Neodiprion lecontei: one gene and its partner. Each later gene encodes a partner of the first gene's protein in a complex. Links are inferred from orthologs where the notes say so. Each region holds a gene or a part of one and is shown on either strand. Other genes may lie near its edges.

Region 1 (4,846 bases):
ATTCGTGTATTCGGAAGCTTTTTAAAACCTCCTCTTGTTTCCGATGTTGAACCTCCATGTCATGAGCAGAGCTTGTTCCCTCAGGATTCTTTTCAATTGTATAAAGTGGGGAGAGAAATTGTAAATCTTTGTCATACTTACAAGCGTCCTGGAGAAAAATAATCAACTCTTTGTAATTATATTTAGTTTATGACAAGTATTTGTATACCCAAATCTCACAAAAATGTAATATTAGGTTTGGAATGTTAGAATAACTTTTGTTGTGTCTTCTTTGTTTTTATGTAAAGAGTAAAGATATTAAAAGCAACAAAAACTTACATTCAATAGATAAAATAATATTTTTGCTGTAAATCCTTTATCCACAAAAATAACTCCGCACAACAGATCTGGATCAATTTGAGTACGTGGATACCGTGATTTTGGAGGTCTTTTAATACCAGTTCGTAGCTTTTTGACATTTCCAATGTATTTTGATTGTTGGAGGCCATCTTTTCCAGTATCAATGTCTTTCTTGCAGGCAGATACACCTTAATTAACAATGCATAAGGATATGGTTAATTATGAAACCACTGTTTCAACAGTGTCAAATGTTTCAACGTACTGTGTCCATTGCTCAGTTTGTTGTCTGGGATAGTCAATTCTTTTTTGCTGGATGGGGCATAACACTTGAGTATATGCAATAGTCGATGAACACATGGAGTGGAGAATTTGTATAATTTTTCTCTTTCGCTCAAATTTTCAAATTCACTTTCACAAATAGCTCTAGAAACCAAACAAACCATAATGTCTCGGTTTTTGTATTATATCAATTATAACCAAATGTATAAATTAGAATTGAGGGTAGAAGTGAAGAATCTACAGTGGCAAATCTGTTGGAGGAGTTTGACTACTCAATACTTGATATTTCATGAAACACATACCTTATTTTAATAAACAAGGAAACCACAACGTTGAATAATAAGTAGTGTCGCTCATAAGGGGTTTTTACTTTCAGCTTTTCTGCTTGAATTAGCAAAGCTAGAGCAGCGTGATTGGCGCACCAAGCCCCGAATGTTTGAAGTACGTACAAAAAGTCTTCTATCATTGAGCAAGGTTCCTGTTTAGGATCAGGAATCTTCTGTATGTCCTCGAGGAACTCATCGTTGTAAATTTCAGTGGGATCATAGCGATGATCACACAAAAAGTTCATAGCATGCATAGCACAGTTCTCCAGAGTCTGGTTTAATTCTTCATATTCGCCACATTTGTATTCTACAATGTACTCTTTTGGTTTTGGACTATATCTGAATCAAAATTGAATACATTCTTATTTTACACAAAACATAGTAATTGAGTGAACAAAGTGAAACAAACACAATAAGTAAGAAGATACAAACCTTAATACTGATACAATATCACTGGCTGTTTCAATTCTACAATGAAAGGTTTTTTCCAAAAGTTCAACTTCTGCTTCCAGTCGTCCTGGCTGACGAGTTAGATTAAAAACTGGTGCAGCAAAACCAATTAGTCGAGGACCGTTAGAGACATTAAATTTTTGTAAAACAAACTTTAGCTTTTCATCATTGACTGCTTTGTGGCATTGGTCTACAATTGCCAAATTTATTTGACTTGGATAAATTTTATTCTGATTCAACAGATCTGCACAAACATGTGATGTAGTAACAATCACCTTTAACAAATAAAATAAATCTGTATCAACAAATATGAACACAAATGATACAGACTTTATGTAGATTTAAATAACTTGTAAGATTTTCGTAAAAATGAGACATACATCAATCATGCTGTTGTTTTACATCACAATATTGGACGTTGATAAAATAGACTGCTATATAACACTTGTATATTTGATAATTGTGCGCTACTTTTTTGAGGAAGATTTGAACAAAGATCGAGTCTCTTAAAATAAAGACTTGTATTTTGAAAATCATACAGATATTACAGAATTACCATATTGAATAACTGGTTGAAAATTGAAATAAAATTTATATCGTTGATAACATATATCACCTGACTTTCAGCGAATTTTCTATCGAACTCTGGCCATGTCTCAGAATCACAGATAAGTACGCGTAGATCTGTTAATTGTTGTATATATACAGCTTTGGTTAAACATCGATCTGTATCTCTTAGAATGTATACTGAGCGCTTGCCTCCTTCTGACGGAGATCTGTGAACAGATGGAACTCAAGTTATCCAAAGATTTGAAGATGAAAAAACAACAATTGTAAAGAGAAACGACATAGCTTTACCTTCTGTTGTTAGTCGCCAACTCTTGAATTAGTTTGATAACAATAAATATTTGTTCAGAATTTTTTCCTAGACAAACTATTATGTTGCTCTCTAAAGCTGCGTAGAGGAGCTCCACCTAGCATAAAAAATTTTCACAAGGCACTAATTACTTCGATTTGTACAACTTGTTGAAATAAATAATGGAATTCAAAATGTAATTTGAAAAATGTAATTTAAAAAATGTAATTTGAGTAATGATAAACGAACTTTGGAAATTAGTTATCACTACATGTATGTTTTAGAATTATGTCTTATTTACTCACTTGATATTCTCTAGGAGAGAAAGACTTAGTATGAACTTGATCATTTAATGGAAATGCCATGGAGATTGTAGTAATGAAATGTTTTTATATCGTTGAACGTATAAAACCCAATTACGGGTTGTTTGATTTATCAAAAAACTAGCAAAACGTCAATAATAACGTAAATCAAGGTGAAACCTTATCGAAATGTGCACTCTAGACGAATAACAGTGTTGTACGGCTATTTTTATACGAAAAGATTTGACCAAATTTTAGGTTATTCTGCTTGTCAAATAATCGGCGGCACACAGATCTGTCTTCGCGATGTGAACCATAATTAATACATAGATTGGAACTCTCTAAAAACATTTGTTTATTTGCTCTAAAGAGCTGGTAGTAACCAGCATCTGGTATTGACAATCGGAACTGATATTTAAAGAGGCTGTGTACTCCAATAAATTGGTACGTATGTATACAATCAAATAAAAAAGTACATACAATCGGTAACTCTTCGAATAGTAGGCATATCATGAGCCTGAAAGGTGCGTTTACATTGGAGCTTCAATGTAGACGCACCTTAAAGCCTCACGGGGGCGCCATGCTCGATTTCGACGTGACGTATAGGTATATGTCAATGCAAAAAAGGGCTCACAGCCCGTTCTACCTATATGCGTTTTTGAACAGACACACACCAATTCATTTTCATTCGATGCAGAAATAAAGAAATTCCATGCATTGTAGAAATCTTTGTTTAGAATGGCGTATAGAATGGGGCTGTTGAAACCCTTGTTTACATTTGAGATGCGTGGACTTCGATATTTAGAGGTATATATGTCAACGTCGAAATCGAGCAAGGCACCCCCTTAGAATACGAAAAAAATTGCTAAAAATGGTAAGCACGACGTGACGCGAGTAGCAATAAAAAATTGTCAAGATTTGAACAAATGACAGATTATATGTACAAAAGAACGCATAATAGCACATCCCCGGTTTTTCTGCGTTGCTGGCTCGCATTCAGTATATATATATATTTCACTGTTCCATTCTAGACTAAAGAAGCGAGACATTGAAATCACATTAATTATATTATTTATAAATATGTTGCATACAAATAATAATAAGCTGTAAAACCCTCGCTCGTTAAAGCTCGCTCGGGGTCGGATGCCTAGTGCAGCTGGTTTTTATTCTTGTGCGCTCGCTTACTCGTTGTTAGTGTTTTACCAGATGATACGAAATTAATGAGATACCTCAGGCCCTCACTGCTCACTGCACAGTGCAGGAACTACGAAGCACTGGTCCTGGAGGTCGAAATTCACTAGGTAGCGAACCTGGAGCGCAGGCACCATAGAAAATTACTCGTAACGGTCAAAAGTCAACAGGTCAAGGACCTGGACAGCCAGAACTACGGAGTGCTTGTCTCTGAAGTCCAGTTTCTCCAGGTAGAGGACTTTGAGCGCAGAAACTACGGAGCGCGAGTCCTGGAGGTCGAGATCCACCAGGTGGAGGACCTGGACAGCCATAACTACAGAAAATTAGTCCTGAAGGTCAAAAGTCACCAGGTCAAGGACCTGGATCGCCAGTCCTATTGAGTGCTTGTTCCTGAAGTAGAGTTTCAACAGGTAGCGGACCTGGAGCGCAGAAACTACGGAGCGCTTGTCTGGGAAGTCGAGTTCCACCAGGTAGCGGACCTGGAGCGTAGAAACTACGGAGCGCTTGTTCCGGAACTCGAGTTGCACCAGGAAGCGGACCCTGAGCGCAGGATCCAGGAGGTGGAGAACCCGGTACTCGAAATTTGCGGAGCCCGATTCTCATCCGTCCGCTCTACTGCGCGGTTGTTTTCAGAATGATGAATTCGGTTAGCTGATTTTCGTCGTCGACGATTACTATAGATCGATGACGTCAGAGAAAAAAATTTCGGTGACGTCACTTTCTGAACATCCGAACATCCAAATTCTGGTTTTGAACTTTAATACTATGTATGATGTATAAATATGTTGCATACAAATATAATACCTATGTACATACGTATATATATATATTTACAGTTTATTTTACATAGTTAATACATGGTCGCTTGAGTAAGATCTTTATACCTATTGTCCCATAGATATTTAATTATTTCGACAAATCCTTCTTAGAAGCAGTTTCGTTAGATCATCAATAAATTACTGACGGGAAATTGTCAGAGTGAAATAAAATATATCTTCACTTATTGCAAAGAACTACATAATTGAATTATTTGCGATTTGCGGATTGTGTCAAGTACTTTTGGTCATAAGGTAATTCATTTCTAAAGCAAGCTCTGTTCGTGT
Region 2 (5,039 bases), on another chromosome or scaffold:
AACTTGCCTGTACTTCAGTATAGAGCAGACAATGGTGAATTGTCGCTCGTGAGGTAGCCCTTCCTCGCCTTCCATGGTGTATTTTGGCGGAGGCCAGTGATTAGACATGCACATTTCTTGCAACGAACCAATTGGATTTCCAACGACCTTGTCCTCCCCATAATTTTGCAGTTCCTGAAGATTCTGACCCCTGTTATAACGTCAGCAATTGTCTTATTTTCTGAATCTTTTCTTAACTCACGAAAACAACATCTCACAAAATGAACAAACATCGGAGAAATAAAAAAATACAGTGTACTTACTCAGATATGCTGTTAGGCAGTGGACCCTCTGATGTTTCAGTATTTACTCCAATCAGTTTGTCGAGGACTGCTTTAGCTGCGGCGTGTTTTGCCTCCTTCTTAGATCTCCCAGTCCCCATAGCTGAAATGGTTAAATCTGCTTCATTCGTGCAATTCTTTTCGAGTGATCTTATGGATTCATTCCAAAAGTGACACGGTGCAAAGACTAATGCTAGACTATACAGCTGATTCTACAGAAGCATTTGAAAATTCTAAAAAATTATGACAAAACTTCAGTTTAAATCAGCGCACAATAATACTCAAAAATGAAGGCTGAATGCCAAATAATTTTGTCTTTTATACGAGAAAATATTTAGGAGTATGACAAACATCAAATAAGTATCAATTTCAATGTTGAATGATTTAGTAATGGACTGGATTGGAATAGAATATTATATGATTGAAAAAAATCAGTGCTACTTATAATTTCCATTGAAATTGAAAGGGTGAACAGATATTTCAATATAAGCTACCATGCTTAGGAAATTGATGTTCAATCATTTATTACATCAAAATAACACTCTCACTCATTCATATTGGTTGACACTAGTATGAGGTAATTGAAAATCATATTTCAGCCTTGTTGTATTACAAGAATGCGAACAATTAGTGAAGAACTTAGACAATTATTTGTAGTGACAGTTAAAAATATTTTGATAAAAGTGTAGAACCTACGCTATCATGCTTACAAAATTAATTTTCATCAATTATCCTTATTTACTGGATTCCATCAACAAACGAACTGGGTAAAAGAAAACCATTTGTCAGACCCTTGTTTTACACAAAAGAATTGAACTCTCAATTAATTACTTAACATTTAATACGGCCAACTATTTACTTCAACATTTACACAAACTCTTAGGTGAAAAAATTTATAGGACATGCTTACCAACAACATCAGAGACAGTGACACGATAACGGAAGGTAGGTTCATGTATGGCACCCTCTATTTGTACAAGTTCATATTTTGGGGTAGTGCCTCTGCGAGACAGAAGCTCTTGCAAAACGGAAACAGGAGTTTTAGCAGGCATTGCCTTCATTTCTAAACGTGCTGCCTCGTCCAACGGTAATGCCTCGGACATAAGAGTGTGCATCGTCACACGATTCCTGCCATGACGATGTACGCTGTTAGGATGAATCGTTTGAACCCCAATTCCACTCATGATATTGGGCACGACTTGTTGAGAATGACGCATCTCGTCCATGTTATTATTCTGTAAAACAAAAAATAATAATTATCGTTTTGTTGAGAAGGAAAATATTTTGCGCAACAACTGAGCTAATATTTAGACATATGTGCATATCTATTTCTGTGAAATCAAGTGAGCAGCTTATTGCTCGACTGAGGAAAATTAAATATCACCTTAAAAATTTGAAGCTTGTACAAAAATTTTTAGAGAGTAATCAATATTTCTGTGAGATTGAATTGTTACCGTTCACTTATTCGATGCATATTTTTTAGATACTGACGGAAGTGGATTTTCTATTTTTGAAAATGAGCTACAAACAGACTCTCAAATGAACAACTCTACATCTACTTTTGCATTCTGACCCAGATTTGTCATATTAAAATATCAGAATCGACATGGTTATTTAATGCCTAACCATACAGCTAATCCTGAAAGTAATTTCAGGGGTAAGTCACATGCTTCAATGATATCCTTTAGCATCCGACTTACCGATAAGATTAGAGTTTAGAAATAATCACTCCACATACCGGTTCAAATATTGCGGTTTACCGAACTCTAAAACCTGCCGTATCTGAATACTTATCAACCTTAAGATCAATCCTTCGACACTTTCGTTGTAAAAAATTTACACGTCCCGAAAGGAGTTCCACAAATACTTTTGTAAATTTGACACAAATTGTGGATGAAAAATCCTGCGGCGAATAGCCGTAGATATCATGCTGTATTTTTGTGAAGTGACAAGTCGTCGAAGAGCACGCTTGTTGTATTGCGAAAATAGGAGATCGTCGTCACATAACTAGACTGGTTCGTCCGAAACAAACACGCGGTAAGTGAGGTGAAGGACAGAAAGTACGCTGGGTTCTACGATGACGCGTTGAGCCCATCAGGCACTTGCCGGTCCTTGATCCGAATGAAACGCGGGACAAAAATACGTCCGTAGACCTTTGTTATTCAGAGGTGTAAGCAGGTAATAAGACACCGGCGGACGGCCATGTTTGTTATAAAATTTTCATCGATTGAATCTTAAATTGGTAAGTAAGGACAGACCGGTGCGACGATGAGGGACGATTGGAGGATGGATGGATGAAGAAAGGTTAGATCTTGAGGGTAGTAGAAGTTGTAGAAGGAATGAAATAAAGATCTAACGCCCACAGACACGCATCGTGACATCGAGCGAAGCTAGCTCGAGGCTGCCACTCGTAGATATGCGTGGATCGCGAAGAGGTTCGACGGTGTTATGAGGCTTATACTCACAATTAACCACCCAGCAAAGTACAGATATCCTGACTTCTGCGGCTCGCCAATTCCTATGCGAAAAGCGAATCCCGCTTTTTGTGACCGATCCAAGTCTCACAAAAAGCTTGATCCGTTTGACGACAGAAAAATGGTTTATGGACTACCGGAGAATCCTTCCTTGTTTGCGGCTCTGCAGCAATATGCTCTCTGCTACATCAGACCTGCGCTGTGAACTTTTGCGCCGCCGGCATGCGCGCTTCGCCCAGGCACCGTATGATTGTGTTCTACGATTATAAGATTGTTACTGTCACGATATTCGCACTGAAGCAAGCTGCGGATGTCATTCAATTCTAAAACAGGTGAACTACGGTATTTTATTTTCTTCTGTCATTGCCGGTTGCCAATAATCATGCGTAAAATTATTCGCGCGAATAACGTAATTCGTGCGTTCTTAGCGATGAGCGCAATCTATGCGCCGTACTCGATGCGCAAGCCTTAAACTTGCCTGGGTGCCAAGTTTTGGTTACCAAAACCGTTGATTGATTACAGGAGAGCCGAATAAACAGTGTATCTAGATCGTTTCAGCAAAAACTCGACCACGTGGATAGTCCGTGGTGTAAACAGGCCGACTTTAATGCATGTCCACACGGACGCAACAGGATTACGGCAGTCCATGTACGATCAACAAATAACGCGCGATTTTTTCCTTTCAATTAGTAAATATTTTGATATTCGAGGTATACTTTAAAACCGACTTGAACAACAATCCTGTTCTCTTGGCGAATATAACACCGAATTTTGACTTACACTTTCGATAATCGTGCTGTAACACCTGGTTCTCATCATTCATTGATCGCGTATCGGAGAGAATTTTAAACCGAAGTATAAATATGTAATTATAATTATCTGGCTTTTAATTTTACTTTCTTAGTAAGATCAAGTTTCATTAGTTGTCAATTGTAACGTGTTTAGTGATCATTCAATCGCTCGTCCCTTATAATAATGCATATTACGACTATTGCAATTCGCTTTTTCAAGTTACAACCACGGTTACAACATGCTGCGCAGATCGTTTTTTTTCTCGGTTTTGCTCAGAAAACTGACAGCTCTGATCGAGATAGCTGACCTAACTTAACATGAAACGCACTTCAAGTCATACTTCAGCCAAACTTCAGGTTGCCTGTGAGGGCTGTGAGGTTATGTCAAACCAGATACAGTGCTGACCGTTGCCAGTCCGCAATGTGAGAGTTGTGTAGTGGTTATAAGTTTATTTACCGGGATTTACATCGACTGATTTTTCAGTGTCAAGGTGTGACGGCGTTGAATCAGTGTACAAATCATTTTGCCTGTGACTAATTTTTAAGCGGGGCTATCATGGGCCCGCCAAAGCGATTCAAAAAAGATAATGGTACATAACCCTTGAACACTTTTTCACCGTTCGTTTAGAGATACACTTCGAATTTTTTAATTTCTCATACTCATACGGTTCTCAATTTATTTATCATATAGACAAGGGCAAATGGAAAAAACGTAAGGAAGATCACGATGAATATTTCGACGACGACCACGGTGATGGTGGTGATACTGAAGGCATTCCTGATGCGGCTAAAAATGATATTGAAAAACAAGACGAAGGGGCTGTTGAAGACGAATTTGGAGCTAAAGACTATCGCTCGCAAATGATCTTGAAGCCAGACAACTCGTCGAGGCCACTATGGGTGGTACGTTGTTATTAGTCAATTAAACTGATCTCTGCAAATAAAAGAAGAATAATAAGAATATCCCAATTTTACAGGCTCCAAATGGACACATATTCTTGGAATCATTTTCACCGGTATACAAACATGCTCACGATTTTTTAATTGCCATTTCCGAGCCCGTTTGTCGACCAGAGCATATTCACGAGGTGAATATCAAATTTGATTCTTTATTTTATTCATGACTACCAAACATTTCGTCAAACCAAGCTCGCTGCAATTGAATAATTACGTACCCTTCCTTACAGTACAAACTGACTGCTTATTCCTTATATGCAGCCGTGAGTGTGGGCCTCCAAACCCACGATATTATCGAATATCTAAAACGGTTGAGCAAAACTAGCATCCCAGATGGAATCATTGAATTCATACAACTGTGCACGTTATCTTATGGAAAGGTAAGCATAAGTGTAGAAAATACTAAGAACTTTGATCAACTTCAACATTTTTTTTCTTATCTTTTATAATTTTGTTTTCCTTTGTTTGTACATCATACTGTTACAGACTATTTTCGT

What was found. Proteins that work in one complex are often made in the same cells at the same time.
Region 2: the proteins of endoribonuclease Dcr-1 (region 1) and RISC-loading complex subunit tarbp2 are in contact, whole or in part, in a cryo-EM structure (PDB 8DGJ), measured with the Drosophila melanogaster proteins. The link is inferred for Neodiprion lecontei from reciprocal best matches to the Drosophila melanogaster genes Dcr-1 and loqs. Residues at the interface, in NP_524453.1 of Drosophila melanogaster: His245, Phe248, Asp251, His252, Arg253, Asp255, Glu258, Ile259, His303, Tyr306, Gln307, Glu310, Lys311, Lys313, Arg320, Leu323, Cys326, Leu327, Ser329, Thr330, Ile333, Gln334, Tyr336, Ser337, Leu338, Glu340, His341; in NP_609646.1 of Drosophila melanogaster: Thr358, Gln359, His360, Ser361, Lys363, Val364, Phe367, His368, Lys372, Ile414, Glu415, Glu416, Lys417, Thr418, Phe419, Gln422, Gln424, Pro433, Val434, Gly435, Val436, His438, Ser440, Asn454, Tyr458, Ile461, Met462, Lys464, Lys465.

What each region holds. Positions count from the first base shown.
Region 1 is NC_060263.1:27,267,428-27,272,273, forward strand, and holds the start of endoribonuclease Dcr-1, read right to left. Parts: upstream 3,021-4,846; 5' UTR 2,616-3,020; coding exon 2,556-2,615; intron 2,369-2,555; coding exon 2,253-2,368; intron 2,171-2,252; coding exon 2,011-2,170; intron 1,670-2,010; coding exon 1,377-1,669; intron 1,284-1,376; coding exon 921-1,283; intron 763-920; coding exon 602-762; intron 528-601; coding exon 319-527; intron 149-318; coding exon 1-148. UniProt on the Drosophila melanogaster protein: Endoribonuclease which functions in microRNA- (miRNA) gene silencing and, independently of its ribonuclease III activity, also acts in the short interfering RNA- (siRNA) gene silencing pathway.
Region 2 is NC_060261.1:39,598,617-39,603,655, forward strand, and holds the start of RISC-loading complex subunit tarbp2, read right to left. Parts: upstream 3,016-5,039; 5' UTR 2,786-3,015; intron 1,556-2,785; 5' UTR 1,547-1,555; coding exon 1,231-1,546; intron 439-1,230; coding exon 303-438; intron 191-302; coding exon 1-190. Other genes in the region: general transcription and DNA repair factor IIH helicase subunit XPB, read left to right, coding at 4,142-4,175, 4,277-4,488, 4,563-4,673, 4,773-4,922.